Neurospora crassa OR74A: one gene and its partners. The protein of the gene in region 3 interacts with the protein of the main gene of each other region in a pairwise test. Links are inferred from orthologs where the notes say so. Each region holds a gene or a part of one and is shown on either strand. Other genes may lie near its edges.

Region 1 (4,127 bases), on a different chromosome or scaffold from region 3:
ACATGATTCTCTGATGTGTATATGTATAAGCACCTTGTCCCATAAAACAGCGACCAAGTCGCGACCCAAAGCTTTGCGTGTAAACACCCCCATTCCTCTAAACCCAAGAAAAATGGCTTCCTTCGATTCGTTGTAAGCTCCGCTACTGCATCGTTGATGAACACATCTTGCAATTGCCGTAGTTGAATATTGCTGCGCATGCTCATATGAAAGAGCATTGCAGGTTCTTCTTGCTCAGCCAATAGGCTTCAACTTCTTTTTCTTTTTCTTATCCGAATCCCCAGACTTGCCCTTTTGAAACGCGCGCCAACTATCGATGCGCTGGTCTCTCGTCTTTTCCCAGTCCTCTTCGTGCTGCCTCTTGCGCTTGCGCTGCTCAGCCTCCTCGTCAGCTTTCCGCTGCTCGCGGCCTTCCTCCTGCATCTGCGCCTTGAGCTGTCTGCGTCGTCGCTGCTCGTTCTCGATCAGCACAAACTTGGTCTTTTCCTGCCACTTCTTTTCAAACTCGGCCGTCTTGAGCTCAGGGCTGTCGACCGTCCATTTGTTCTCGCGGATCAGCAGCATGCGCGCGTCCGCGATAGCTTCGTCTAGGTTCTTGCGGTGCTTCTCCTCCATTAGCTCCGTTTGCGCCTTCTTCAGTCTATCGAACGCCTCAGGCGCCAAGGGGTTTTTGGTCTTGTCGGGATGGATCAGCAGGGACTTTTTGCGGTAAGCAATCTTGATGTCGGATTCGGTCACGCCGGGCTTGAGGCCGAGGACTGAGTAGGCGTCGAGCCGGAAGGCTTTCAAGATACGGTCGATCTCGGCATCCTGTCGGAATTTAGATTGTCAGCAACTACTGAGTTGGGGATGTAAATGTTGGTATAGTTGGGCGTGGTTGTTGTCTGGCTTGCCTTCTCCCACTCCTTGGCTTCAGATTCCAGCACTTCAAGCGCATCCCGAGTGTCGGCAGGAGTTTCGTCTTTGACGTCTTTAACGTCCTTCACGTCCTTAGTGTCTGTCGCCATATTGTCGCCGGAATGGAGGGTCAATCTGGATGCTTGTTTGATCAATTACAAAGGGTTGATGGATAAGTAAGTTCGGTCTACCAAACGGAACGCAACTCCGGGGAAGTTTAGGGAAGTTCAGTAGTTGCGACTTGCGACACCTCCAGGAGCGCGGAAAGCACAGCTAACGCACGCCAGCGCTGCCAAGGCAAACCCACGGGCATGCAATGGGTGTACTTGATAAGCTGATAATGGATAAATGTCACATTGGCCCCACTAAAAAGTCGACCATCCAAAATTTACGGGTGACGGGCAGGCATTGATGGCTACAGTAGACAAGAGACCCCAAGACCCCATCATCATCACCAACCTAAACTCCAACCCACCCCGTCCGTCTTTGCATCTTCAATTAGCGATTCGTGCTGCAATTGGCAGCAACACAACCCTCGCTCACCATGCCTAGACGCGCAGCGTCCCCCACACCGTCCGAGAACGAGGTTGACATCGCGGGTGCTTTGTTCAACAACGACAGCGACTTCGAAGACAACAGCAGCAAGCACCACACCAAGAAGGGAGCTGTTACGAACAGCGGGCTTGACCTCGATTTCAACGATCTTCTCGGTAACGGCGATGATGGACTACCTAGCTTTAATGGCGAGGGCGATGATGACGAAGCCTTTATCGCTTCGCTCACACGGAGCTCGCAGAGAAAGTCCTCCAACATTCAGGGCAAATCAGTCAAGAAGGGTGGAGGTTTCCAGGCAATGGGTGCGTAGTCTTCCGTCCCATGGCATAAGTTGATGATGCTTGGGGCAGCTGCTGATACTCTCCTAGGTCTAAACGCCCATCTCCTCCGAGCGATTACCAGAAAAGGCTTCTCCGTCCCGACCCCCATTCAGCGCAAAGCGATCCCCCTGATTTTAGAAAGAAAAGATGTGGTCGGCATGGCCAGAACCGGTTCCGGAAAGACTGCAGCTTTCGTTATCCCCATGATTGAGAGGTTGAAGGGGCACAGTCCACGTGTTGGCTCGAGGGCGCTCATCATGTCTCCCTCGCGTGAACTTGCGTTGCAGACCCTCAAGGTCGTCAAGGAACTCGGCAGAGGTACCGATCTAAAGACCGTATTGCTCGTCGGTGGTGACAGCCTAGAAGAACAGTTTGGTATGATGGCGTCGAATCCCGATATTATCATCGCCACACCCGGTCGTTTCCTCCATCTCAAGGTTGAAATGAACCTCTCTTTGGCCTCCATCAAATACGTTGTCTTCGATGAAGCTGATCGCCTCTTCGAAATGGGTTTCGCTACTGAGTTGACCGAAATTCTTCACGCCCTCCCTCCTTCCAGACAGACGCTTCTTTTCTCTGCGACGCTCCCATCGTCCTTGGTCGAATTCGCCAGAGCCGGTCTTCAAGAGCCAAGCCTTGTCAGGTTGGATGCCGAAACCAAGGTGTCACCCGACCTCGAGAGTGCTTTCTTCGCAGTAAAGGGAGGTGAGAAGGAGGGTGCCCTTCTCCATCTTCTCCACGACGTCATCAAGGTCCCGCTGGGTCCGCCCGAGGGCACAAAGGAAGAGAGTGACGAATTGCAGGCGAGGAAAAGGAAACGCGAGTACAGGCCCAATCCTAAGGAGAAGCCGACGGAATACTCGACCATCATCTTCACAGCAACGAAACATCACGTCGAGTACATTGCGAACCTGTTGAAACTCGCAGGCTTTGCCGTGTCCTACGTTTACGGTTCGCTTGACCAGACGGCCCGTTTGATCCAAGTTGACAACTTCCGTCGGGGAAGAACACATATTCTCGTGGTTACCGATGTCGCCGCCCGTGGTATTGATATGCCTGCTCTCGCCAACGTCATCAACTACGATTTCCCATCTCAGCCCAAGATCTTTGTCCATCGTGTTGGTCGTACAGCTCGTGCGGGTCAGCGTGGTTGGGCCTATGGTTTGGTCCGTCAGTCAGACGTACCATATCTACTTGATCTACAGCTCTTCCTGGGAAGGAAACTTATTATCGGCCACGATCAGAAGAACCCTTCCTTCGCGGCAGACGTCGTAGTTGGAACACTAAAGAGAGATGGAGTGGATGTTAACATTGAGTGGGTTGAGAAGGCGCTCAAGGAGAGTGCCGATCTCAAGGCGCTGAAGGGTGTTGCCGCAAAGGCCGAGAAGCTCTACATGAAGACGAGGAATTCTGCGTCGAGCCAGAGCGCAAAGAGAGCCCGCGAAGTTACGCAGTCCAGGGGCTGGACACAGCTCCATCCTTTGTTTGGAGAAGAAGCCGCTGAAGCCCAGGCAGCTCGCGATGATCTTCTCAGCAGGATAAACCGCTTCAAGCCCCAGGAAACCATCTTTGAACTTGGCCCTAAGGGCAAGTCTAGCCGCAATAAGGCCGCGGAAGTTGTACGAAACATGCGTTCCAGATTCAAGGAGCGCAAGACTACCAACGACGAGGATGATGAGGACGTGGACATGGAAGATGCCGAGGGTAAACCTGACGGCGAGGAGACCAATGCGTTCGAAGACTTTGAGGATGAGGAAGAGGAGGGAGAGGCGGAAGAGGCAGAAGAGGCGGAAGCCAAGGAAGACCCATACGCCGACGACTCGGATTCGGAGATGGAGGTTACAGTATCCAGCAGCATGCATACGAAGAAGAAGGGTGGCCCGGTCAACTTCCAAGACCCCGAGATCTTCATGTCCTACACGCCTCGCACCACTAGCCTTGCGGAGGAGAAGGCTTACGGTGTTCACTCGGGCGGCTACAGCGGCAACAGCTTCGTCGAGGCCGCTCGCGACGCTACCATGGACCTGACCAACGACGAGAGTGCCAAGAACTTCGGTCTGCCCACGAAATCCAAGATGCGTTGGGACAAGCGTCACAGCAAGTACGTGGCGGTCGCCAACGATGAGGACGGCTCCAAGGGCGCCAAGATGATTCGTGGCGAGTCCGGTGTCAAGATTGCCGCCTCGTTCAAGAGCGGCCGCTTCGACCGGTGGCGCAAGGATAACCGTCTCGGCAAGTTGCCCACGATTGGCGAGACGGAGAAGTCGCAGCTCATCCGCAACTTCGGAGCCCAACCTGGCCAACCGCGGTACAAGCACAAGATGGAGAAGGCGCCCAAGGATGCGGACAAGTTCA
Region 2 (4,270 bases), on a different chromosome or scaffold from region 3:
TATGAAGTGAAAGCCGTCAAAACTCCGTCCTAGTGGGTATCATATGGTATTTCAGAACGGCAACATTCCCGAAATCAACATATTTCGGCGCGTCCCCAAACTTGTGGAATCAGATTAGACCTTCTGTGTGGGATCCCAAAGTCGGTGGAAAGATTGATTGGATGCGCAATCAGAACCTGACAATCCCTATCCTTCTTCTTCTTCTTTTCTTTCTTCATCTTCTTCTTCTTGTAGAGTGTCAGCCACAGGTTTGATGTTGTGGCTATGGTCAGAGGGTACTGGGCGAACAAACCTGTGATATACATGTTACTAGTTTATCAGAGAATCCAACTCCAGCGTTTAGTCGGTAGCCTTGTACTTGGCGCGGTATTCCTCCGTCTTCTCGACGTCCTCAGGGGAGGCAAGACCCCTCATGCCCTCAATGATGTCGTCCAGAGTAAGGATGGCAAAGATGGGAATGCCGTACTCCTTGCGGAGCTCGCCCATAGCACTGGGGCCGGGCTTGCTATCGTCACCATCAGCGGCAGGGAGCTTCTCCATGCGATCAAGAGCAACGACGATGCCAGCGACAATGCCGCCCTCCTTCTCGATCTTGGCGATAGCCTCACGCTTAGCAGTGCCAGCAGTGATGACATCGTCAACGATGAGGATCCTCTTGCCCTTCAGAGGGGCGCCAACAATGTTGCCTCCCTCGCCATGGTCCTTGGCCTCCTTGCGGTCGAAAGAGTAGCAGATCTTGCCGTAGGTCTCGGGGTCAAGCTGGGCAAGCTTGTCGGTGGCAGCAGTAGCGAGGGGAATGCCCTTGTAGGCGGGGCCGAAAACAATGTCAAAGTCCAATTGGCCGCTCTTGTGAGCCTCGATAATGCACTTGGCGTAGGCAGTGGAGATGGCCTGGAGAAGGTCGGCACGGTAGAAGTCGCCGGCGTTGAAGAAGTAGGGGGAAATGCGCTTGGACTTGAGCTCGAAGCTGCCGAACTTGAGGACGCCGCCGTCGATGGAGGCCTTGAGGAAGTCAGCCTTGTAAGGCGAGAGAGCGGCCATTGTGCTGGTACGTAGTGTTTGTAGGATTGGAATTGAAGCTGAAAGAAGAAGAAGAGATTTCAGAAGAACAGCGTTGACGTCTGTCTGCCTGGCAACTGAATAGCTGGAGGAACCTGGGGAAAATTGAGAAAATGGAGGGAGGGGCCGAAGGAAGGGTTCAGTTCCTGGCGGCGTCACACGCGGCAGTCTTTCAACCGAGTCAATCAGATGGTGGGTTACGAGTGGGCCACCTAGTTCCAGGAGCCAGGCCCGCGAAAGCCCGGTCATCGGCCACTTGGGCGCGGTGGGGTCCCTGAAAAAATGTGGGGTTAGAAAATCCTAAATTCCACACTAGCCGAATCCTTAAGCACCCCTTGGCAGCATGTCTTGGCAGCGCACACTACCTCTAGGTTCAATCCACTTTGGCACTCTGCTGTTATCTTATCGATTGGAGCAGCCGCTGGAAAAATATTTCGAAGTAGACTTTCCATTTGGCAGCGCAGCGCCTCCCCGTCGCCCTCCAACACCGCCCCCTCCCCCCGCAGCCGGTCTCTATCCTTCAGACCGTCCGTCCGACCTCATTGTCCTGCACTTCCAGTCCGAGATCTTCTCACCAGCAAGTGCTTGACATCTATACCCGAAATGACGTGGAAGGACATTGCCCCTGTGCCTACGTAAGGACATCTTGGTTGTTGTGTTGTTGTTTGGCATCGCTAACTCGCTTCTACAGGGCACAGGAATTCATCGACATCATCCTCTCGTAAGTCGACATCGGCAGCCCCCAACCACGACGATGCGAAGTCTTCGAGTTCGAGTCCAATGGCTTGGCCACGGTGGTGAAGGATATTAACTGTTCAACAGGAGGACACAGCGTCGCTTGCCGACTCAGAGTATGTTGTACAATGTGGAAAATTACGTGAAGCATGGCATGATCGCTAACCTTTACTTTGAATAGTTCGTGCTGGTTTCAAGAGTATGTCGTCTCGATATCCGATACTTTGTATGAGAATTCGAATAGATCATTGACACGCGACACCGAACAGTCAGCAGAATTAGAGCCTTCTACACCCGTAAGGTCAAGTTCACACAGGAAACATGCAGCGAAAAGTTCGGCGCCATCGTCTCGAGCTTCCCCATCCTCGCCGACCAGCATCCTTTCCACCGCGATTTGATGAACATTCTCTACGGTACGAATCCCGCGCTTCCCTGCGACAGGCGGTTTCAGCAACAGCGGGTTGTGAACCGCGCCTGGTCTTGTTGGGAATAGTGGCTGACAAGGTGATGGATAGATGCCGACCACTTCAAGGTTGCCCTTGGTCAGGTCTCGACCGCCAAGCACTTGATCGAGACCATCTCTCGTGATTACGTCCGTCTCCTCAAGTACTCGCAAAGTTTGTACCAGTGCAAGCAGTTGAAGAGAGCCGCCCTCGGTCGTATGGCCACCCTCATCAAGCGTCTGAAAGACCCTCTCGCCTACCTCGACCAGGTCCGCCAGCATTTGGCCAGATTGCCCGATATCAACCCTACCACCCGTACCCTCCTCGTTGCCGGCTTCCCCAACGTCGGCAAGTCTTCGTTCGTGCGCTCCGTCACCCGCGCTGATACCCCTGTCGAGCCCTATGCTTTCACCACCAAGAGCTTGTTCGTCGGCCACCTCGACTACAAGTACCTCCGTTACCAGGTCATCGATACCCCTGGTATTCTCGACCACCCTCTCGAAGAGATGAACACCATCGAAATGCAGTCAGTTACTGCCCTTGCCCATCTCAGAGCCGCCGTCATGTTCTTCATCGATATCTCGGAGCAGTGCGGTTACTCGCTCAAGGCCCAGTGCAACTTGTTTAGGTCCATCAAGCCCCTTTTCGAGAACAAGATGGTCTACGTTGTCCTGAACAAGATGGATATCAAGACCGTTGAGGACCTCGACCCCGAATCCCAGGCCGATCTCATGGACCTTACCAAGTCCGGCAACATTCAGCTTTTGCGCGCCTCTTGCGCTACTCAGGACGGTGTCCAGGAAGTCAAGAACACCGTTTGCGAGGCTCTCCTCGTTGAGCGTGTCAACCAGAAGTACAAGGCCGGTACCAGCAGCAACGGCACCATGGGCTCCCGTCTCACCGAGGTCATGTCCCGTATTCACGTCGCCCAGCCCGCCGATGGTGTTCTCCGCGAGACCTTCATTCCCGAGGCCGTCAAGGGTCTCAAGAAGTACGACAAGGCCGACCCCGAGAGGAAACTTCTCGCCAGGGATATCGAGGAGCAGAACGGTGGTGCTGGTGTCTTCAACGTCGATCTCAGGGAGAACTGGATCTTGGCCAACCCCGAGTGGAAGTACGACAAGATTCCCGAGGTCAGTATCTCTCGCATTCCGTCTCCCCCAAATTAAACCCGGTTACTAACATGTCACGCTTTGACGAACAGATTGTCGACGGCAAGAACGTCTACGACTTCATCGACCCCGATATCGAGGCCAAGCTGGCCGCTCTCGAAGAGGAAGAGGAGCGTCTCGAGAAGGAGGGCTTCTACAAGTCGGACTCGGACCTCGGCGACGAGTCGGAGGAGGAGATCCTGCAAAAGGCCGAGTACATCCGCGAGAAGCACAAGCTGATCCGCAACGAGGCCAAGATGAAGAAGTCGCTCAAGAACCGCGCCATAATCCCCCGGAAAATGCAGAAGAAGTCGTTCGCCCAGCTCGAGGACCACATCGACCAGCTCGGCGTCGACACCGAGGAGATCAACCTGCGCGGCCGTGCCCAGGTGCGCGAGCCCACTCGCGGCCGCTCGCTGGCCCGCAGCCGCAACGCCACCGAGGACCCCGACGCCATGGAGGTGGACACGCCCAAGAGCGCCGCCGAGCGTCTTCGCTCTCAGAGCCGTCCGGCCCAGCGTGGCCAGGGCGCGACAAACAGGCGCGACGACGGTGTTACTGGTGGTGTGGGCATGGACGGGGAGACAGCCCGCTCCAAGGCCGAGAGGGTGGCCAAGCTCGGCCAGCGCAAGATGAACAGGATGGCCAGAGCCGGCGAGGCCGACAGGCATATTGGTGCTACCATGCCCAAGCATTTGGTACGTCTTTTTTCTTTTCTTTTCCCCTTCCTTCAATCCCCCTTTTCTCTTTTCTCTTTTCATTCCTAAACTAACCACACATGTTTTCTATAGTTCTCCGGCAAGCGTACCGTCGGCAAGACACAGCGTCGTTAATTTGGATCGATGATCCATATATGTTTGGGTTGGGTTGGGTTGGGTGTGT
Region 3 (4,181 bases):
TCATAATAATAGCACATCCGAGCACGCCAATCAAGACAAGCAGACTGATTAACCTGTCCTCTCGCTTCCGTTTTCCTTCCTTGTGTTTTGTTCATCTTTTGTCTCGTCCCATTAAACGCTGTTCTTTTACATCCAGAGACGGATGGTGCCGTCAGCACCGGCAGACACACACCACGGCTCACGCGGGTGCCAGTCCATATCCAGGACACCAAGCTTGTTGACGACCTTGTGTCCCTTGAGCACCTTGACAGGCACAATGGTGGGGTTCTCCAGCTGATCGTTCGGGACCTTGCCGTGGAAGATTTGGAGAGTGCCGTCGTCACTGGCATCAGCGAAGAGCGGCAGGCCGCCCCTGTGGTACTTGACCTGACGAACCGCCTCGCTGTGGAACCTCATCGTCTTGTACGGACGAATGGAAAGATCCAGATCGTGCCACAAGAGACGCTTGTCGTAACTGCCAACAATCAAGTTGTCACCGCCGGGGTGGATATCGAACGAAGAAATCCTACAAGTCAACAGAGTTAGCAAATCAATTCCAGTCACATTATCCGGCTAGCCATGGGGATACGTACCACTTCGCGCCAGGCTGGACAACCTTGACCAGCTCGAGCTTCTGCAAGTCGTAGCAGCGAATTGTTCGTTGAGTGGCGACGAAGAAGAGAGGACGGAGGGGATGGAAAGACGCTGTCTGAGCCAAGCCAGAAAGCTTGCGGAAGGGAATCTGGGTGAGGTGCTTGGAGAGCGTATGGATGGCTACGGAGCTCCTCTGTCCGGAAGGCGATACTGTCGCAAAATGGTCTCCTTTCCTGTGCCAGTTGATGACCTTCACGGTCGACCTGACTGTGATCCTGATCAAGACACCCTCATCCTCGAGCTTAGCACCGGGGCGGGCCCACTTGGCAGGAGGCTCCTTGCCGGGAGCAGCGCCGTGTTGCTGACCGTTTGTAGCATAACCGAAGCCAGCCGACAGGATATCTCTGCTAGCCTGGTCCAAAGCAGGAGTAACGCTGGCGTGTGTAGGAACCATGAGGTAGACATCCTCACCCACAGCAGCGGAGAGAATGAAAGAGTCCTTCGCGGGCCTCCACCTAACGGTGTTGACAGCCTCCTCACTGCTGAGCTTGACGGACCAGACTTGGCGACCCGTCAACAGCTCCCACACACGTACCGTACCGTCGTCGCCACCGCTAGCGACAGCAACACCAGTAGGGTCGATGGCAACGCTTCTTACACGGCCGTCATGGCCGCGGAAAACTGTTTGGGCAACTGTAGGGAAAGGCTTGAGCTCAGAAGGCGAAGGAAGCTTGGGCAGGAGCGAGTTGGGATCGATGTTGAGCCTGTTCTTCCGCACACGAGGAGCAAGGTAAAGGTCCATGCACCTCTCGAATCTCTCCTTGACGATCTCGCCATAACCGGGAACTTTCCGCAAAGAGTCGTATTTCTGAGGGAGATACTCCTTCTCGCGCTCCTCGGGGTCGAGCTTCTCCCACTCCTCTCTCTCCTCCTTGGTCGGTAGGTATTCTGCGGGCGGGTTGTAACTCATGTCGAAACCAGGAGGAGGCAGCTTGGGTGCCGGGATGTGCAAGGGGTTGACTTCTTGTGGCACCTCATCCTGCCAGATATCAAAGTACTGCTCCTCCTCTTCCTCCTCCTTCTCGCGCTCCTCAGGGGGCTTGTAGGGCAGGATCCTGCCTTCCCTAATGGCGCGAACAAGCTTCATAATCTTCTTGGCCTCGTTCTTGGAGGGGAGGAAGCGACGCTTGGGCTCAGGGGCAGCGCTCAGGGCTATTGACTTGTTAGTTGCACCATTTCAACAACGATAAGTGTAGATAGATTTTGACTTACGCATTTTCTCCTCAATACCAGTAAAGTATTCCACGGTTTCAGGGTAGGGGTTTTCCAGCTCGTTGGGAATCATACCCATCTGGACACGGCGAACAAGCTCCAATTCATCATCACTACGGTATGGCAGTCAGTAAGCGTGACCCGAAGAAACCGAGCAAGACAAAGGAGGATGGGTTGGGTGCATACTTGAGGTTGAGAGGGTTGCCGGTGTGAATATCCGTAAGGCCAGTCCAGCCCTTGGGCACTTCGATGCTGTCGAGGAGAGCATCAAGAGCGTCGCCAGTGGCCGGGCGCATAATCTTCTTGCCGTTGATATCATAGCCGATATGGGGATAGCTGTCGTAGAAGCTCATGGGGATGTTGCCGATGGTGTTTGGCGCTTCTTGGGCATCGGAATCGTCCGAATCGTAGACGGGGTCGATCTCACTGTTGCATTCTCGAGTTAACTATGCTGGCATGGAACGATATTTGATCCATTTGCAGAACAACAACATACTCGTAGACGTAGCGCTCGTTGCCGTTCGCGTCCTTTTCGATCCGATAGTTCTTGTCTCCATCATCCTTCTCCGGCCGCTTGGGGTCGACTCCGGGTATCTCAATCTCGAGTTCCTCTTCTTCGTCCTCGAGAACAAGTTTGCCCATTGCCTTGTCGCCCTCAGCATCGGAGGGAATGTCGTCGCTTAGTAGGGAGCCCTCCTCATCTTCGTCGTCGCTGGCCTCACTTCCGCTTTCCTGCTCGCCGTCCTGTTCGTGCTCATTGTCGTCGAAGTCAGAATCGAACTCGTCTTCGCTCTGCGACAGGGCGCCGTCAAAATCGGGTGCAATCTCGTCGTCGGACTCAGGCTCGGCGTCCTGGACCTTTCGCTTCTTCTCGGTGGCTTTTGGCCCCATTGTGAATGTGTGTTGATTTTTGGCGTGTTTTCTGCTGGTAAAACACCCAGATAGCGTCGCAGCGATAGGCGTCGAAAATTCCTAGCATACGAATTGGCCTGGGACTTTTTTTTCTGCCGGTTCTACAGCTCATGGCGGGGACGAGTTGGTCTCACCGCCCTTGGCATTTCTGGCAGCTAAAGAACCATAACATATTACCCTATCGGTTTAGCGTGTCAAAAGACAAATGAAGCCAGGAGCATGCACTCCGTGTCTCCGTCCCTCTGATACCGACTTCAAATTTTTAGCCTTATTTGTTACTTGTATATCATGGATGAGATGAATACCGAACTCCAACCTCGATGCAGCATCCCTCTGCACCCCTACACCTGGCTTCAACCACGCACGATTCCACTTCTGTAGTTCGTCCTGCCCGTTCTGTGGGTATTGGCAGTCAAAACTGGCAAACCAGCATCAATCAAATACCCGGCGTGATCAGATTGAGTCTCCATGGATCGCTTGTAATTACAGACTTTTGTTCGAATTTTACCCCATTGCCTCTTACACTACGGTTTTTGTCACCATCGCCGTCTTTTTGCGCTTTCCAAGCATGGCAGTTGACAATATGTAGTGTAGCACGACGCCTGCTAGGGAACCTTGATGGGCTAGGGTTACTCGACACCTTCACACTACACTACTGCCATAAAACCCACGCTATAGTCATCCCATAACTAGCAAAAGGACATCATTCATGCCTTTGGCCAGTGAGCCACATATATGTCCAAAGGCCTGGGTGTTTGACTGATACACTACCAGTGCCATTTGAGGCAACGCGGCAACAAAAGTCAGTCTCTGCATTATCTGTGTCAATTGCGGCTTATTAATATGGCATCAGGTCTGGCGCGACCAGGTGATCTTTGATTGCTTGCGTTGGCTCGTTAACATTGCGGGCCTGGAGCATCTTGTCTGAAATCTGCTTTCTTTGCCCTCCTCTGAAAACGAGTCGATCCTATCATCCTAGGTCCCTTGTTACAACGTACATATCCATGCTGTTTGCCCATCTACTGTGTACACCACACTAGCGTCTACATAGATAGTGTCTTGGAGTACCACCGGGGCGATTTCTGTGTCTTCTAAGCGGGGCTTGCGGAGAGCCTTAGACGTTTACCTTACCACTCAACCCTTTTTATCCACCACACATCTACGCCCGCGGAAAAGAAGGGGAGAAAAAAAAAGCAAAATAAAGGAAAGGCCGGTTGCGGAAAACAGCCATGATCTCAAACAGCGAAGTCACTAAGGAGAAAGAGCCGGTGAAACGCCGTGCCTGTGACGAGTGCCGTATGTTTCGTCCCGCTCCCCGTTTCGATCCATATATTCATCTACCTCTACCCTCTAGTCAGCAACCATGACTGCCCAACCGCACTAATGTATCTAAATTAACAAATGCAGGGACACGGAAACTTGCT
Region 4 (4,188 bases), about 1.4 Mb from region 3:
ATGTGGAGGGGGCCCCATTCCACCGATTGGGGCGGGTTTCGTGCAGTTCATCTGATGCGATGGAATTAATCTCTTCAGTGTCCTTATCCCAATCCTCGTCGCCGGAATCTTCTTGATTCAAGTGTGAAGACATTGCATGGCCCAGTTTAGTGGGTGCTCTTCCCGCGTTGGCAGGGTTGTTGAGTGCAAATTCTGGTGATCAATCACTAAGGACGGGAGTGACAAGAGATTGAAGGTCGAAGAACCGCACTGACGTACGAAAGCATCCCAGTAGTAGTACCACAGCAACAAGGATGGAGAAACTGATGAACCTCTGACTCCTCACTCAATTCTTTTACTTTGTACTCTCACCTTTCGTTGGTCCTATTTTCGGTTCGTTCCAACTTCTCTTGGGCGTTACGGTTTGGTTCGTAGCGACCCCTAACCCTCAGACGAAAGCCTCGTGGGCGCTCGTTTTCATGTCACGATTATTCACATTTGCATCAGTTCAGGACGACGAGTAGGATTCAAAACTTGTCGATTACACAAAAAGAAAAGAGAAAAATGAGCCTTTGGTATCCCATTTCAAAACATAAAGTGCTAAAAAATTACGCCTTGCCAGTGTTTTAACCTTACGCCTTCTGCGCCTTTTCCTTCTCCAGCTTTCTCCTCTTGGCGCGGAGCTTCTCGTCCTGAGCGCTCTTCTTGTTGTTGGTATACTGCATCTGCTCAAACAGCTTGCGCTTCTTCTTGCTCAGCATGCCCTTGGCGCGCTCCAGGTCCTCCGCCTCCTCGCGTGCCTTCTTTTCAAGAGCCTTGCGCTGTTCTAGCTTGGCTTTGGTCTTGGAGTCTACCTTTGTATTCTGCACCTTCTTGCCTTGGAGCTCGGCTTCTAGCTCAAGCTGACGCTGGAGGGTCTTGGACTCCTCCTCATCTTCCTCAGCATCCTCCTCCTCGGCCTCCTCGGCATCCTCCTCGTCACCCTCCTCCTCTTCTTCATCGTCCTCGGCCTCATCAACATCCATGTCGTTTTCGACATCGGAACCATCCTCAGCATTACCCTTCTCGGCATCCTCGAGGTCGGCTTCAATAGCCTCGGCCTCGGTTTGCTGAGCCTCAAGGGGCAGAGTAGGATCGTACTGGCCAGGGGCGGCCTTGACGAAGGGGCTAAGATGGGGAGGGAGAGCGGCGCCAGGAGCATAGAGCTCAGGGCTCTTGAGTTCCTCGTCGTTGACGCAGTCCCATACCCATTGGGGCTGGACATATATCCTGCCGGGGTATCTCTGGTTGGGTCCGACCTTCTGGGCCGTCTGATTGTCCTCGCCATCGCCATCCTCGTTGGTAGCGGCTTGTACGACTGGCCTGTCAATGATGTGATGGGTGATGGAGGGATCCGACTCGTCATTTGTGAAGGCACCCTCGCCGAGGACGGAATCCCAGCCTATCCTCTTGCAGCCAAAGGCACGAAGAATGAACTCGAGAGGCTGGCGGGGGGTCTCACGGGAGAGGTAGAATGTGAAGTTGGCGAACAGCTGCGAAGGGTCACTGCTGCTGTACGCCGGCTGAGGAAGAACATCACCACCAGGGGCAACTGGCTCGAACTTGTCGATGGAGTCTGTGGGCTTCTCCTCATCGTCGGCCTCGGCATCTTCCTCGGCAGTCTCGTCGCTCTTGGACTCGTCCTCCTTCAGTTGCTTGATAATCTTGTCAACCTCAGCCTGGACCTTGGGGTCAGGACCCTGCTGTTGTTCCTCCCCGTTTGTGACGGCCTTGGTCTCGCCCTGGGTGGCCATGTTGACACCCTCCAGAGAGAAAGCGCCGAGCTCAGCACCGTTCTCGTCCTTGAGCTGGTCGAACTTGGGAGGATACTTGAGGCCGATCGAGCTGTAAAGTCGGTAGTTGACGAATCCAAGAAGAGTCATGTAGAACTCGACGAAAGTGCCCATAATGCGGAAATCGACATCGCCGACGATCCTCTGGTTGAACTTGTAGGGAACGAGCCAGAGAATATCCTCGCCCTGGATGTTGGCCTGGTAGTAGATACCCTTGATCGACAGGAACGACTTGCGCAGGCTGTGGGAAACAATAAGGTAGTGTTGGAATTCGAGGCAGAGACGCTCGCAGCGGGCGATCATCTTGGCGGGAACCGCGCTCGTGGAAGGGAGGTTGGCGAAGAGGAAGAGCATGGACAAGCAGTCATCGAGATCGCGGAGCGCGTCGTTGAAAGTCGGGTAGCGCTCACGGATGACGTGGTTGAGAGTGTACCTGGGCTTGCCAGTGGCCTCGGGGCGGGCAGCATGGCGCTCGAAGCGGGCGGCATCCGAAACATCACCTCTGCCAAGAGCACGGGAGATCTTCTTCTCGAGCACCTTCTGGTCACGGAACTTTTGAAGAAGGGGCTCGTGGAGGAGGTACTGAATGTCCTTGGTGTAGTAGAAGGTGGTCGAGGCAGTGGCCGACTTGGAAACCTTCTTCTTGTTACGAGGCTCGCGCGGGTAGATACCCTTCCAGATGCAAAGCTTGCGGAAGTCGGGAAGGCTAAGCTGCAGCTTCTTCACAGCCTGTGTGCGGGTGATGTAGTTCTTGGCCGCGCCGGCCTGGCCCTTCTTCTTGATTTTTGGCATTTTGGGGTGTGGTGGTGGTGGTTGTGGTTGTTGGGTGTAGGTGGAAGAGTGAGAGAAGGAGAAGAGGACCAAGGATGGATCTCTTCAGTCTGCAGACTCGATCGTTATCGAAGCCAATTGTAGGTGGGGGCGCTCTGTGCACTTGCAATCAACTTTTTTTCTGACCCTCGCGGTCCTGAACTTTTTATGCCACTTCCCACCGCCTGAGCTGATCAAAGATAAGATAACGTAGCGGATGGAAAGACGGGAGGCATCAGATAGGCACAGATGAGGCTACTAGAATACATACTGGGCCCGTCTGGCCCAGATAGGTTCCCGCTCCCGTCTGGATTGGATTCCAGAACCCCTTGTCCCACAGGGACCCGCCAGCTGTGGAGGCCGGGCCAGCTGTCGGTCTGCTTTGGCGGGGACAGCGATTGACAAGGCGACCTAACGTGCTGGGCGCGACTCCTGTATAGCGCAACTGGACGGGCATGTCGTTAGAAGTAACTTGACCCTGGGACAAGTTCGACATCACAGCTCCCACCTCGTCGTATGGCGAATTGAACAATGAATGGCGGCAAGGTAACGTTGAGGAGGACGGCTGGCTTATACGCCGGTGCTGCCGTCCTGCGACTTGCCCTCTTTACTCTGTTCCCCGGTCTTCCAGACCTCCTGACTGGCCGTGTCGAGATCTCAACGCCAGTAACAAGCTTCAAGCGCCGTATGTTGTAGCTTTTGTTTTTCTCTTCGGCATTCGTCGCATCGTCTCGAGGAACACAGGTTTGCTAACTACCAAAATCTAGTCCAAGAAGGCCTCTTCCTGTATAACCATAACGTCTCTCCTTACGATGGCGGCGTCTACCACCAGGCGCCCCTCTTGCTGCCCATCTTCAACTTGCTCCCGAGCTTCGCGGCGTTTCCCATCTTCACGTACCTTCTCTACATCGCTATCGATATTCTGAGCGCCCATGCTCTTTTAAGGATTGCAGAGTCTGGCGAGGCCAGCTCGTCTGCGCGCTTCACCTCCCCGCGCCGTGACAAGCGTTGGAGTGGTGCCATCATTGCCGCGCTCTTCCTGTTCAACCCCTTCACCATCGCGACATGCATTGGGCGTTCGACCACCGTCTTCACGACCTGTGCCATTCTCCACGCCGTCGCCAATGCCATCTCCGGCAGACCCTTTCACGCCATGGTCGCCCTAGCCTTCGCATCATACCTCTCCATGTATCCGCTACTCCTCCTCCCGCCTCTCATTCTTCTTTGCTATGACAGGCAGAAGTTGCCCGCTACCGGAGCGCCCAATGCGTGGATCAAGTTTACCGCGACCATGGTTATGGATGCGTTTGGTGCTCTGGCAGTGCTTTTCCAAATGTCGTTCTTCCTGACCGGCTCATGGGAGTTCCTTAGTTCCACCTATGGTGTGCAACTTACACTGTCTGACCTGGCCCCCAATATCGGCCTGTGGTGGTACTTCTTTGTCGAGATGTTCGACTCGTTCCGTTCATTCTTCTTGGCCGTCTTTTGGCTGCATTTGTCGTCATATGTTGGCGGGTTGAGCGTGCGCCTTCGCCAGCAGCCGCTTGCGGTGATCACTCTGCTGCTG
Region 5 (3,947 bases), about 2.6 Mb from region 3:
TATCAGTGACACCGGCCGTCATGATCCGATTGGATCGTTACCAACCCTGAGGTCGGCTATTGAACGCATGCTCGGTTCACCCCAGCCGCCCATCGCGTTCACTGACCGAGTTTACTTCCTGCTCCTCCTTTGCTTCTTCGGGGGAGGTGCTGGCGCAGCCTCGGCTTCTGACTCAGACTCTTCGAGTTCGCTGGCTCCTTCGATGTCGAGGTCGGATCCTTCCTCGTCATCTTCGACGTCAGAGCCCTCCTCCTCGCCATCCTCTTCCTCATCGCTCGACGCGTCCAGGGGTATCATATCTTCAGCAGTGCTCTTCTCCTCACCCTTCTCCTCAGCAGCCTCTTCGACCTCAGAGTCGCTGTCACTGTCGAACCCGGCAAAGTTCTCAGGGTCTTCCTCCTTGGCATCCTCTCCTGCTGAAGCGGGAGTGGTAGCAGGCGCGCTGTCGTCCTCGTCACGTTTCCGCTTCTTGGACATTTCACCGTAGCGTCCTTCGCGACCCTCCATGGTATCAGTCTCACCCTCCTCCTTTTCGGGGGCAGGCGTGAACCAAGGAATCTTGCCTCGCATGAAGTCATTGAGAACCATCTTCGCAACGCCATCAACGTCAGGCTCACCACCCTTGAGAAGTCTGCCGCCCTTCCTAGCAAGCATCTCAAGGAAATGAATATGGTCCTTCCAGCCCTTGAGCTCATATGTCCTCTCCATGTGGTGAGGTTTGACCTTGTTCAATACCGCAGGGATGTATTGCTCCGGGTTATCGACGTTTTCCACACGTACAACACCACGGAGCAGGAGATCCTGTGGCGTATCGTTCTGGTTGGGAGGAACAATGCCAGGGCAGTCGATGAGGTAGATCCTCCTCATCAAGGTGACGTACTGCCAGACCTTGGTCTCTCCGGGAATAGGGGCGACCTTAGCAACGGGCTTCCCACGAAGGGCATTGATGATACTCGACTTGCCGACGTTGGGGTAGCCAACAAGACCGACGCTGATCTGTTTCCTGTCCTTGTGCAGGATACTGAACTGTCTGAGAAGATCGATCAAAGAACCACGACCGAAGGGGTTCTTGATGCTAGATCTCATAGCACATGTAGGATGATCCTTCTGCAGAACGCGAATCCACGCGGCCTATTGTTTTCAGTTAGTCCTCAACTCGTTACTGAATATAACATATATGTATAATGTGAAGAAATGTGTGAATCATAACTAAGAAGACCACCATGGTAGAGTCTGCTCAAAGGCAGGGTGGAATTCAACTCAAACGAAACACGTCCGGTATCCCGTGAAGTCCTCCAAAACGGAGTCCATCAAATCCCCAATCCCAAGACGGGACCAGAGAGGTTGGGAGGTGGATATTAATCTCCCAGCGATGTAACAGACCAATCCCAATGAAGCGCAACTGAATGCGGGAAAGATCCTGACAAAATCCCTGGGAACCTCAGGATTTGCGCGAGGCAAGTCAAGAGATTCAAGCAGAAGGAGTGAAAGCAAATAATGGTCTACACTTACAGCAGTCTTGGAAGGAACAAGATCGATCTTGTTCAGCACGAAAATAAGATGCTTGTGAGGAGCCTCAGTGGCAAGGTATTTCTCAACGTGACGACACCTGGTTCCCAGAGGATCTCTGGCATCGATAACGTGCAGGATGACATCTGACGAATCAATGACCTTGTCTATGTGATGGTTAGCAACCCGAAGTCACAAGTCCCCAAACACAGAAGGACTTACACAGTTCGTTCCAAATACGCTTCGACTGGCCCTTTGTGAAGATAGCCTCCTTGGCCGTCGCGACACTGAAATCCTCCTCTTGAACATCGTCATCGGCAAGACCACCGCCATATCCAGAAGCACCACTTAGAAGCTTGATCTCCTCGAGTCTGGCCTGGTATGTATCCATGCTCTTCTCGCTGTGTTCTGTCAAGTCACCGATCGTGTTGAAGCTGAGTTTTGGCCTCTTCCTTTGGGCCTTGGGGCCAAAGGTCTGTGAAAACGGCTCGCTCTCAATCGTCATCTTGGCTTGGTGCTTCTTCAACGCATCCTTGGGTCCATCTCTGATCAAGCTCATGGGGAGCTTGTTGCTTTTCAACAGCACCGCTACAAGACAAGGTGCGTTAGTCTTGGTCGGCCGGACAAGTGACGGAAGAGTTGAACGTACAGTAAGGATCCTTGTCCTTCTCGGCAATCGCCTCCCGGAAAGATGTCAACGTATCTTGCGAAATGACTCTGGTGTTGTTGAACCATCTCCGGTTCGGCTCGATGACGGCTGTGGGAACATCTCTGCTCTGATACGACGCGGCCTTGACGACCTTGCCCTCCTTGTTGCGAATGGCCTTTCCCTCCTTCAGCACGTTCAAGGCCTTGATCTTCTTTGCGCTCCGGTAGAAGTTCTCGCCCTTGACCTTTGGATCACCCGTCACCTTGCCCTGTCGCTGAATGCGAGACTTTTCCTTCTTTCCTGTTCCCATTTTGGCAGATATCACTCAATGCCAGATTACCGAGTAGGTTGGTGGGTAGAGGATGCAGATGTGGAAGAATTTCGTTCTCGCCTGCGAGAGCGGCTGGGGGTATCCGTAGATCGGGGGGTTTGAGATTGACTTGAAAGAAGAAGCACACGAAAATAGGGAAGAATGGGTAAAAGGCTAGAAACGAGGCTATGGGGTATCAGATATCGGCAGAGGGTGTTGCGTGAGAATCGAGAGGATGAATGGACTGGGGAAGAAGAAAAGAAGAGAGGGAAGCGAGGAAGGAATGAGAAGGAGGAAATGCAACTCTGCGACTGGTCCCGGCGAAAGTTTTGTCAGTTTTTTTTTTGGGCGGGGTGTGGAGGCCGCGCAAAGGTCCCCATGCACAAAAAGTTTAGCGGTGTACGACGGCAGAACGCCCGCGACCAGCAAAGCTAGTAGCACCAAGAGCACTCTAGCGCCGTTCTGGCCTCCCCGAGCTTTCAGAATTTCGACGGAGTTGAAAGCCCCCTCGTACCGCGGCGTGTCCCACGATCCCGAGCCGAACCTACCTACCTAGGAGAGCGAGAGGCCGCTGCACCCGCCTGGTCCGTTCCCTCCGTCGCACGAAACCTCCGCATAGCACGGCCCGGCCAGAAGTCTCCCAACTCCGACCCCATCCCGCTCACCCCGTCTTCAGCCAACCCTCCACCTCAAAAATGGCGCCAACTCTTGCCAGGCCGTCGCTCAGCGGCGTGCAATTTATCCTTTCTTCCCCGACCACAACATGCGCTGCCACCAGCGTAGTAACACGCGCCATCGCCGCCCGATCTTTCAGCACCACCCGATCGGCTAGAGACTCGGTCTCCATCCCCCCCGATTCGCCCAACTACATCAAGGTCCCCGAGCCGCCGCAGTCTTCCGAGGTTAGGCACCCTTTCGTCAAGGGCCACCTCCCGATCCCCCGCTCCATTTTCCCAAAGAAGGGCGTCCCGGAGAAGGTCCAATCCGGCTATGTCAATCGTATCGCTCCCAAGTCCGCCGCCGAGCTGGCTGGTCTGCCGCCCAAGTCGAAACAAGAGTCGTGGCGTCGCAAGATGGCCGAGGCCCGGCGCCAGTCACTCGAGGCCGGTCTGCAGGGACTCTGGCAGCGCAAGGTGAAGCGCGACCAGAAGCAGGCGAAGGAGAGCAAGGCGCGCTACTTGGCGAACAAGCGGGCGGCCCAGGCGCCGGAGCGTCTGGACGAGGTGTTCACGCGCGCGACGATTCGCGAGAGCACGGCCAAGAACACATTCGTACCCCTGGACCCAGAGGCTTTCGTCAAGGCCGAGGAGGCGCGTATTAAACATGCAGAGAAGGAGGCGATGAAGAGCGAGGCGCGCCGGGACGCCGTCGTCCAGCTGTACGTGGCGTCCAAGAACTTCATCGTGGACGAGAAGGAGCTGGAGGAGCACGTCAACAAACACTTCACCGAGAAGATCCACAACGCCGGTCTCTGGGAAA
Region 6 (4,162 bases), on a different chromosome or scaffold from region 3:
GAAGTGATGGGAAGGGAAAGGAGAGGATATTGGGAAAGGGGAAGGGGAGGATATTGGGGACGAGGTGAAATTTGGTAAAGTTGTTAGGTTGGTTTGTGTCGGGGAGTTTCCGTCTGTTATGTAGTTCAGGTTCGGGGGGTCGATTGGGGCTGCAGATAGAATAGGTATCGATGTAGGTCGTTCTGAAATAGTAGACTGTCATCAGTGGGTTGTTTCATGCTTTGTTGTTGGAGGTTAGTGTTGAGTTGGTACCGGTTGTCAGCTACCTAATTTGGGTATTGATTATGAATCCCTACAAAGGATCCTTGATAGAGAGTGACACTCAGGACCTCCATGCTTTCCATCAGCCATATCAACATCACGATCTTTCCAATTGCGTAGCAAAATAGATATGATGTGGTTTGTTCAAGGTCTTTCTTACCATTTATCAAATGAAACTGTCAGCATGATAATATGTTCCATCCTCACATGGAAAGACACCCGAGATGACCGAACGGCACAGCATCAGAAATACCACACCAACGGAGCAGCAACGTAAAGTAAAAATTAATTGTTGATTTGAAGCCCTCCAGTTTTACTTTTCAACCAAAAACGCCTTGGCAGCTTGCGCAAACAACAACAAGTAAACAGCAAAGTAGCAACACAAAAGAAAACACCCACTATGCTCCACACCGAATGCCCGATGGATATCTAAGAGAGAACATTGACAAATCATCATCCCCTTTTCGTATTCTAACCAACAACAACAACAACACGAACACCGAATCCCGCCTCGCTTAGTGACGGTTCTGCTTCGGCTGGCTACCATACGCTCTCCTGCTCGTCTGCTTCTTGTCACGCGACATGCTGGAGGCCAGGGTGATGTCTACCCTGGGAGGGGTGGAGAAGCCGAAGGACTGTTTTTGTAGTACGTTAGTGACTGTTCTGGTGTTGGGGAAGAAAAAGGGAGAGAAGAGAAAACATACCTTGGCCACCTTAACCAAGTCAAGCTTATGGATATCAAACACCGACCGCAAACTGTGCGAAGCATAGGCGTGGAGATACGACCTGTAACCGTCCTTGGCGCTCTGGTTAAGGTAGTAGTTCTGGCCGATCAGCTTCTCCAGCTGGGACTGAACGTTGAGGATCTTGCTCTTGGGGAAGTCGTATTCCACAACGGGGACCTTGGCGGCCTTGAGATGGGCGAGGAAACCCAACTCGTTGGGCTGGAGGAAGAGCAGCGAACGGCCCTTGGTGTTGTTACCACGGGCGGTACGACCGACGCGGTGAATGTAGTCGCGCGGGTCATCAGGAGGATCGAACTGGACGATCCAATCAACGGCGGGGATGTCGAGACCACGGGCGGCAACGTCCGTGCAGATGAGGGTGCCCTGCTTGGCGTTGCAGAATTCGAAAAAGGTGTTTGTGCGCTTCTGCTGCTTCTGCTTGCCGTGGAGATCGAGAACCTGAAGATCGATGTACTGGAGAAGTTCGGAGTAGTACTTGACCGAGTTGCAGGACGAGAAGAAGACAATGACCTTCTTCTTCTGCATCTTCTTGAGGAAAGAGAAGAGGAGCAGGAAGCGCTTGTCGGCGTCGACGACAACGTAGCCTTGGTCCAGACCCTCGACCGTGCTGAACTGCTTCTCCTCATCGACGTTGACGTAAAGAGGACCGGGACGGAGCGAGATACGGGCGAGATCCTCAACCTTGGTGGTTTGTGTGGCGGAGAAGAGCATGGTCTGACGGTCCTCCTTGGGCAGGATCTTGATGATCTGGCGCATTTCGTCCTCGAAACCAATCTCGAGAATACGGTCGGCCTCGTCGATGATGAGCGATCGCATGTTCTTGAACACAAAGGGAGTGTTTTGCAGGTGATCGAGCAGACGACCGGGAGTAGCAATGAGCAGGTTGACGCCCTTGCCCAGCTTCTCGGCCTCAGCACGACGGTTGGCACCGCCGATGACGACACCGTATGTTTGGGAGTGGTTCTTCATGAGCTCGCGGGCGACGCCGAAGATCTGGAGAGCCAATTCGCGGGTAGGAGTGACGACAATGGCACCGGTACCGTTTCTCGGCTTGAAGCGCAGGGAGCTGAGCATCTCGATAGCGGGAATGAGGAAGGCGAGGGTCTTGCCGGAACCGGTCTTGGCCGCACCGAGGACGTCCTTGCCGGCGAGCAGAGGCGGGATACCTCTCCTCTGGATCTCGGTCATCTTGGTGAAGCCCATTTCGGCAATGGCCTTCATGGTCTTGTCGGACAGGTTGAGCTCGGAGAAGTCGGTGGCATTGGTCGCGATGGACGGGGCGATGAGGGAGTCGTTGGTCTTTGTGAGTTCGTCGCCGGCCTCAGCGTCCTTGTCGTCGCTGTCCTCCTTGTCCCCGTTGCCGGTGGGGATGACCTCGTCGCCATCTTGTTGTTCCTCCGCCTTTTGGGCATCGTTCTCCTCCTCGGGGGTGGCGTCCTCGACGACCTCTTCGGCGGCCTTCTTCTCCTTCTTGTCCTTCTTCACCTTCTTGGTCTTCTTGTCGGTGGCGGCGCCATCTTCGGTCGCAATCTTGGCGTCCTTGAGCTTGCGCTTCTTGCTAAATTCGGAAGCCATCGTGATGGCGTGGGGGGGTTGGTACTGTCGGTGGGTGGTTGCGATACTCTGGGAAAAGGGCGTCGCAATGGTTCCGTTCAAATTCCCAGCGAGTCGAATCTGTTATCCTTCCTCTGCCTTCTCTTTCGCTGGGGATTTTTTTCTTATCGCTTGTTCGATAACCAGGGATTACACCAGGCGGTGAAAATTTTGCCAATTCTGCCCTCTTCTCCTGATGAAAACCTGGTCTGTGCGCTACAGCCGTCCCAGTGTTGACCCCACTTTTGACTGCAGATCAGCCGAACCCCGGAACCCGCCAATTGTGCCCCCAATTGCTTGCGAGAGTCGAGAACTGAACTTGTCCATTTCCTCTTATCTTCAAATCCGCATTATGTTGTTTTCTTCTCTGATATTCGTTTATTATCACAACGCTTTCACCTCTCCTGCAATTACTCCAGTCTGTCATAGACATGATATACTCAACGTAACCGCGTGTAGTCGGTCTTTCATGTTCGTTGTCCCTCTCACGGAATTAGGCTCTGGATGTCGTCCATGGTGGCATTGCTTTACACTGCGGATATTCAAACGCTGTACAGTACCTCTGAGATCCTGGCATTGCAGTATTCTTCTTATGTTACATTTCTATTCCAAAGGTTTAGTGGATTGAGACAGACCAGTCAATAGCCTGGTGGACTTTGCAGTTCCCGTCCAGCGGACGACTTCGAAGGCCTTGACACAAGTCCATAGTCAGGCTACGGGTTGCCTTGATCGATAATCGATAATTCGGGGCAGCTGGAAACTTACCCCGTCTGCGGGATACAGGGCGCAAGATTGGAACGTACCAGTCAGCTTCGAATCCAGGTCCCTGGGTTGGAAGTGTCACTCGCCGAGAGGCCCCTGGGTCGATACATAACAGTACACATGGCAGATCAATATCCTCGCATCATTACATTGGCTGAAGTGAAGTTTCATGAACCCCTTCGGAATCCTTCATATTCTCTCAAGGCTGACGGGATGCTATCTTGGTCACGTCGGAAGTAACAACACCTTTATTACATGAAAACATGATCATTTTCCATGGAGTTGACCGAGTCACAAGTGTGGTTCGGTCTTTGGCTCACTGCTGCCTTGGGTCGCATCTTTCCACGATCTGAGGCTGAGAATGGTTCCAATGGGAGGTATCAGCACGGAAGTTGATGTTCATGATATAATCTGGTCCCATGGCCCTATTCTTCAACACCACTCGCTCAACACCACGGACAGACATCACGGAAACAATCCAGAAGGCATCCCATAAAATAAAATCGGACAAGAACTTCTGGTTCTTGAATCGAAACCACGTTTATGTTAAATCTCGATACACTCTGTATCTCACTTCCCCGTCTTTCTGCTGCCAAGTGGTGCCCCAGGAGGCGTAGACACGGCTCAAGCCGATCGGGCTGGTAATTTGGCTTCGAATTGCCTAGCTCCCGCTTGCCCCTTGCGATTGACTTTGGCTAGTAAACAAGGTATGGGGTCTCGAGCTACGTATAGCCTTGCTTGTAGGGCTGGACTATGGGAGCAGAGGACAAACATGGATGGAACAAGTAAGGGGAGATGTC
Region 7 (4,270 bases), on a different chromosome or scaffold from region 3:
CTTGGGGTGACGGAAAATTTGAGCATCACCGGACGAGAACTCGAAGCTGCCCGCGCAAAGACTGTCCAGCCAATTCCTACGTCATACGGGCCGAACCCTGTCACTCCCACGCTAACGCCGCGGGCAAGCTCCAGGGGAGAACTTAATGAACGCGCTGCTGCCGACTCGATTTCCCTTGACAGCCGGCTTGGAGTACCCCCAATGCCCTCATTGCCCCAGTTATCTGCGGCCTCCGCAGCACCTCTCGGTGGCTATTACCCCGATTACCACAACTACGAACAGTACACCACCCCTCCTCCAACCGAAGCTCCAACTTCAACACCACATCTTCCTCTTCCTTCAGTTCCTACTACGCTCCCACGACCAAACCCAACAACCTCACAAACCCAACGGCCACAGCCCCCATTAATCGTCTCATATGGACCCAACCGAGTAACGCCCACTCCAGCTGTGACTTCGCCTACAGTGCCTCCCGACGAGTCTATGATTGAAAGACCACCTAGAGGAGTTGAATTACAAGGCGAACCCGCATCTCTGATGGAAAGGAGACATCCATGGGAGGACATTGATCTCCCGAGCGCCAGTAATAACGGTCCTTTACCACCATACGCATCGACAGAGGAGTACGCTGCAATGGAAAGCGGCGCGATCCGTAAGCTGGAGGAGCCAAGGGCGCATGCTGAGCTGCCACCAACCAAAGATGGCTACTATCATGCTACGTGGGATATTGTTGAGCACGAATTGCCAGGTGACGGATATCAACGAGACCCTCTCTACCCGCAAGCATCCGCGTCCGGACGTGGAAGGGATATCGATGAGCAGAAATTCTTGCTGGATGATGTTGAAATGGCGCATTTGAAGGCGCAGAAAGAACGAATCCGCGCTGAAATGAAGAAGAAGCAGAAGCAGAAGGAGACTTACCAGCAGGACCAGGGGCATGACCAGGACTTCCTTGGAGCGTCGGCGAGCTTCTCCACACGGTAGCACGAGTGATAATGTGGCGGTCCATGTGAAGAAAGTTACGTTGTGGGCAACTGATGTTTTGGAGGCGAAGGTTTGAGGATTAGCATTATACCATTGGCAAGGTGTCTGGCGTTCATTTTGGGTATCGACGGGGTAGATGACTCCTGTGTAGTATCATCATATAATACGGGCTGATACATCTGCGTTGAGAATAGCTGGACCATATGCCCCGCACAAGTATAAATATAGTCCTACTGTAGTAAGGACAAGGTCCTCTGGCTCTATAACATGAACGCGTATTCAATTTCTTGGGACAATGTGGTGTTGAACGAGTTGCTCCCGAAGACGGCAGGTACTCACTTGATAGTTGAGATGGTACGTACCCATCCCCGCAGCTGTCGACCAGCTGCCACTGATAAGATCCCCAGATCCTCCAATCACATTGACCGCCCGGCAGAAAAAGTTACAGACGGGCATGGTTCCCAAATTTTTGTTTTCCCTTTCGTTCTGCGGCGGAGGAAGAGACGAAAAAAGACCCCACTGACTGCTATCAGTTGTACAATCTTGACGATTCCACCAATTCCCACTCAGCATCGGGAGCTTCCCGTCGTTCTCTTTTCCAACACAACACTACAGAACAAACAACGGTCACAGACCGTTGCAACACCATCCACCACAATGGCGCCCTCCCAAAAGCGCAAAGCGATCGACGACGATTTCATCCTCACCATTTCCGACAATGAAGAAGACATCCCACTAGAAGAGGAGCAAGAAGTTGTACCCAGGAAGAAGGCCAAGACGGCCACACAACAATCGAACAAGCAAAAGAAGAAGAACAACAAGAAGTCCAAGAAACAGCAACAGACTGAAGATGACGACGACGAAGCCGAAACAAAAGAAGACGACGCCGCCGACCTCGGCATCTGGGGCGACAACGACGAAGACGACGGCGCCATGGATACCGAGTTCCAGTTCGTTGTCGACGGCCAGAACGAAGTGGACGCCGAGTTCGACGGCTGGGGTTTCGAGGGCGCGCACAAGGGTGTTGTGAAGGGCGCCAACGCGGGCGGGGACAAGAAGGCTGTGGATATCGATGAGATTATCAGAAGGAGGAGAGAGAGGAAGGCTGCTAAGGAGGGGAAAACCACGGCGACAAAAGAGGAGGAGGATAAGATGGAGGTTGATGAGGAAGAAGACGACATAGAAGAGATTGATGTGGATTTGGATGATGATGAGGATGGTGTCTTGGCTGACGATGCTTTTGGTATGGGTGTTGGGTCGGACGTGGAAGAGGAGGAGGAGAAGCAGGATGCGAAGATGGGGGGTGTTGATGGGGAGGATGAGGATAGTGAGGGTGAAGATGGGGAGAAGAAGGGAGAGGATGAAGACGAGGGCGATGCGTCGGATGATGACTCGGTTGCTACGGCCGTTGAGCATCCTGATGATGTGCAGTCATCGGATGATGAAGAGGGTATTGATGAGGAGGAGGAGGCCAAGATGAAGGAGTTCTTTGCGCCGGAGGAGGAGAATCAGCCTAAGAAGAAGGGCGAGATGTCTTCGTTCCAGGAGATGTCTCTCTCCCGTCCTATCCTTCGCGGTCTTACTTCCGTGGGCTTCACCAAGCCGACGCCCATTCAGGCCAAGACCATCCCCATTTCGCTTATGGGTAAGGATGTCGTCGGTGGTGCCGTCACCGGTTCCGGTAAGACGGCCGCCTTCGTCGTTCCCATCCTTGAGCGTCTCCTCTACCGTCCCAAGAAGGTTCCCACCACCCGCGTCGTTATTCTTACGCCCACCCGTGAGTTGGCTATCCAGTGTCACGCTGTCGCTGTCAAGCTCGCCAGCCATACCGACATCAAGTTCTGTCTGGCTGTCGGTGGTCTCAGTCTGAAGGTGCAAGAGGCCGAGCTCCGTCTTCGCCCGGATGTGGTCATTGCCACTCCTGGTCGTTTCATCGATCACATGCGCAACTCTGCCAGCTTCGCCGTCGACACCATCGAGATTCTCGTCCTCGATGAAGCCGATCGCATGCTCGAGGACGGTTTCGCGGACGAGTTGAACGAGATTCTTACCACCCTTCCCAAGTCCCGCCAGACCATGCTGTTCTCTGCCACCATGACGTCGTCTGTCGACAGGCTCATTCGCGCCGGTCTCAACAAGCCTGTGCGCATCATGGCCGATTCGCAGAAGAAGACTGCCGGTACGCTTGTTCAAGAGTTTGTCCGTCTCAGACCCGGTCGCGAATCGAAGAGGGAAGGATATCTGTTGCACATCTGCAAGACTATCTACACGGAGCGTGTCATTATCTTCTTCAGACAAAAGAAGATTGCGCACAAGATGAGGATCATCTTTGGTCTGTTTGGATTGTCGTGCGCCGAGTTGCACGGTAGCATGAACCAGGCTCAGGTATGTTTACGATTTACGATGCTCCAGATGGATGAGTGATACTAACAGGATCCATAGCGTATTCAAAGTGTCGAGGACTTCAGAGATGGAAAGGTCAACTTCCTCCTTGCCACCGATCTCGCCTCACGTGGTCTTGATATCAAGGGTGTCGACACCGTCATCAACTACGAGGCTCCCCAGACCCCCGAGATCTACGTCCATCGTGTCGGTCGTACAGCGCGTGCGGGCCGCAGCGGTACCGCTATTACCCTGGCTGCTGAGCCCGATCGCAAGGTCGTCAAGGCTGCCGTCAAGGCCGGCAAGTCTCAGGGCGCCAAGATCAGCAGTCGCATCATCGATCCCGCGGACGCCGACAAGTGGCAGGCCGAGATCGACGAGTTGGAAGATGAGATTGAGGAGATTATGCAGGAAGAGAAGGAGGAAAAGCAGCTGCAGAACATGGAGATGCAGGTCAAGAAGGGCGAGAACATGATCAAGTACGAGGACGAGATCAGCTCGAGGCCCAAGCGCACGTGGTTCGAGACGCAGGAGGACAAGAAGAAGGCCAAGGCGGCGGGCCGGGCCGAGCTCAACGGCGTCAGGGACAAGCTCAAGTCCAAGAACGAGGGCAAGTTGAGCAACAAGGACAGGAAGAAGCTCGACACCATGCAAGAGCGCAAGCAGGAGAGGACATACAAGAAGGGCAGCGCCGAGAGAGCCGGTAAGGGCGCGGTGCTGAACCTCAAGAAGGTCGTCAAGAAGGTGGGACGGTCTGCTGGGCCTAAGAAGAAGGGCGGCAATGCTGGTAAGGGTGGTAAGGGCAAGGGCAGGAGAAAGTAAATGTGAGGAGCACGATTCTGTTGTTGTTGTTGAGTTTCTAAATGTAATTGAGCTTCAAGCTAAGTCTAGTGTGCTTTTGATA

Evidence for each region.
Region 1: the proteins of NCU03321 (region 3) and NCU07712 interact in binary tests that used the Saccharomyces cerevisiae proteins (3 or more experiments, as listed by UniProt). The link is inferred for Neurospora crassa OR74A from reciprocal best matches to the Saccharomyces cerevisiae genes ERB1 and DBP10.
Region 2: the proteins of NCU03321 (region 3) and NCU05289 interact in binary tests that used the Saccharomyces cerevisiae proteins (3 or more experiments, as listed by UniProt). The link is inferred for Neurospora crassa OR74A from reciprocal best matches to the Saccharomyces cerevisiae genes ERB1 and NOG1.
Region 4: the proteins of NCU03321 (region 3) and NCU00925 interact in binary tests that used the Saccharomyces cerevisiae proteins (3 or more experiments, as listed by UniProt). The link is inferred for Neurospora crassa OR74A from reciprocal best matches to the Saccharomyces cerevisiae genes ERB1 and NOP7.
Region 5: the proteins of NCU03321 (region 3) and NCU02546 interact in binary tests that used the Saccharomyces cerevisiae proteins (3 or more experiments, as listed by UniProt). The link is inferred for Neurospora crassa OR74A from reciprocal best matches to the Saccharomyces cerevisiae genes ERB1 and NOG2.
Region 6: the proteins of NCU03321 (region 3) and NCU09349 interact in binary tests that used the Saccharomyces cerevisiae proteins (3 or more experiments, as listed by UniProt). The link is inferred for Neurospora crassa OR74A from reciprocal best matches to the Saccharomyces cerevisiae genes ERB1 and HAS1.
Region 7: the proteins of NCU03321 (region 3) and NCU11175 interact in binary tests that used the Saccharomyces cerevisiae proteins (3 or more experiments, as listed by UniProt). The link is inferred for Neurospora crassa OR74A from reciprocal best matches to the Saccharomyces cerevisiae genes ERB1 and DRS1.

The regions. Positions count from the first base shown.
Region 1 is NC_026504.1:2,109,868-2,113,994, forward strand, and holds the start of NCU07712 (ATP-dependent RNA helicase dbp-10), read left to right. Parts: upstream 1-1,327; 5' UTR 1,328-1,441; coding exon 1,442-1,754; intron 1,755-1,820; coding exon 1,821-4,127. Other genes in the region: NCU07713 (DnaJ domain-containing protein), read right to left, coding at 235-810, 894-1,007. UniProt on the Saccharomyces cerevisiae protein: ATP-binding RNA helicase involved in the biogenesis of 60S ribosomal subunits and is required for the normal formation of 25S and 5.8S rRNAs.
Region 2 is NC_026504.1:5,445,385-5,449,654, forward strand, and holds the start of NCU05289 (nucleolar GTP-binding protein 1), read left to right. Parts: upstream 1-1,470; 5' UTR 1,471-1,662; coding exon 1,663-1,694; intron 1,695-1,750; coding exon 1,751-1,780; intron 1,781-1,881; coding exon 1,882-1,910; intron 1,911-1,975; coding exon 1,976-1,993; intron 1,994-2,063; coding exon 2,064-2,207; intron 2,208-2,309; coding exon 2,310-3,370; intron 3,371-3,441; coding exon 3,442-4,086; intron 4,087-4,179; coding exon 4,180-4,221; 3' UTR 4,222-4,270. Other genes in the region: NCU05291 (polyamine acetyltransferase), read left to right, coding at 1-33; NCU05290 (orotate phosphoribosyltransferase), read right to left, coding at 340-1,041. UniProt on the Saccharomyces cerevisiae protein: Involved in the biogenesis of the 60S ribosomal subunit.
Region 3 is NC_026501.1:5,301,410-5,305,590, reverse strand, and holds the start of NCU03321 (eukaryotic ribosome biogenesis protein 1), read right to left. Parts: upstream 2,801-4,181; 5' UTR 2,737-2,800; coding exon 2,342-2,736; intron 2,272-2,341; coding exon 2,032-2,271; intron 1,959-2,031; coding exon 1,846-1,958; intron 1,786-1,845; coding exon 573-1,785; intron 506-572; coding exon 127-505; 3' UTR 1-126. Other genes in the region: ada-4 (all development altered-4), read left to right, coding at 3,987-4,053, 4,165-4,181.
Region 4 is NC_026501.1:6,705,681-6,709,868, forward strand, and holds NCU00925 (pescadillo), read right to left. Parts: upstream 2,732-4,188; 5' UTR 2,604-2,731; coding exon 612-2,603; 3' UTR 501-611; downstream 1-500. Other genes in the region: NCU00926 (hypothetical protein), read right to left, coding at 1-133; gpit-2 (glycosylphosphatidylinositol transamidase 2), read left to right, coding at 3,153-3,306, 3,389-4,188. UniProt on the Saccharomyces cerevisiae protein: Component of the NOP7 complex, which is required for maturation of the 25S and 5.8S ribosomal RNAs and formation of the 60S ribosome.
Region 5 is NC_026501.1:2,685,339-2,689,285, reverse strand, and holds the start of NCU02546 (nucleolar GTP-binding protein 2), read right to left. Parts: upstream 2,801-3,947; 5' UTR 2,469-2,800; coding exon 2,159-2,468; intron 2,098-2,158; coding exon 1,732-2,097; intron 1,677-1,731; coding exon 1,513-1,676; intron 1,132-1,512; coding exon 112-1,131; 3' UTR 1-111. Other genes in the region: NCU02545 (hypothetical protein), read left to right, coding at 3,164-3,947. UniProt on the Saccharomyces cerevisiae protein: GTPase that associates with pre-60S ribosomal subunits in the nucleolus and is required for their nuclear export and maturation.
Region 6 is NC_026502.1:4,196,447-4,200,608, reverse strand, and holds NCU09349 (ATP-dependent RNA helicase has-1), read right to left. Parts: upstream 2,726-4,162; 5' UTR 2,583-2,725; coding exon 966-2,582; intron 897-965; coding exon 777-896; 3' UTR 501-776; downstream 1-500. UniProt on the Saccharomyces cerevisiae protein: ATP-dependent RNA helicase involved in 40S ribosomal subunit biogenesis. Required for the processing and cleavage of 35S pre-rRNA at sites A0, A1, and A2, leading to mature 18S rRNA.
Region 7 is NC_026503.1:3,109,903-3,114,172, forward strand, and holds the start of NCU11175 (ATP-dependent RNA helicase drs-1), read left to right. Parts: upstream 1-1,470; 5' UTR 1,471-1,641; coding exon 1,642-3,369; intron 3,370-3,426; coding exon 3,427-4,188; 3' UTR 4,189-4,270. Other genes in the region: NCU00234 (hypothetical protein), read left to right, coding at 1-984. UniProt on the Saccharomyces cerevisiae protein: ATP-binding RNA helicase involved in ribosome assembly.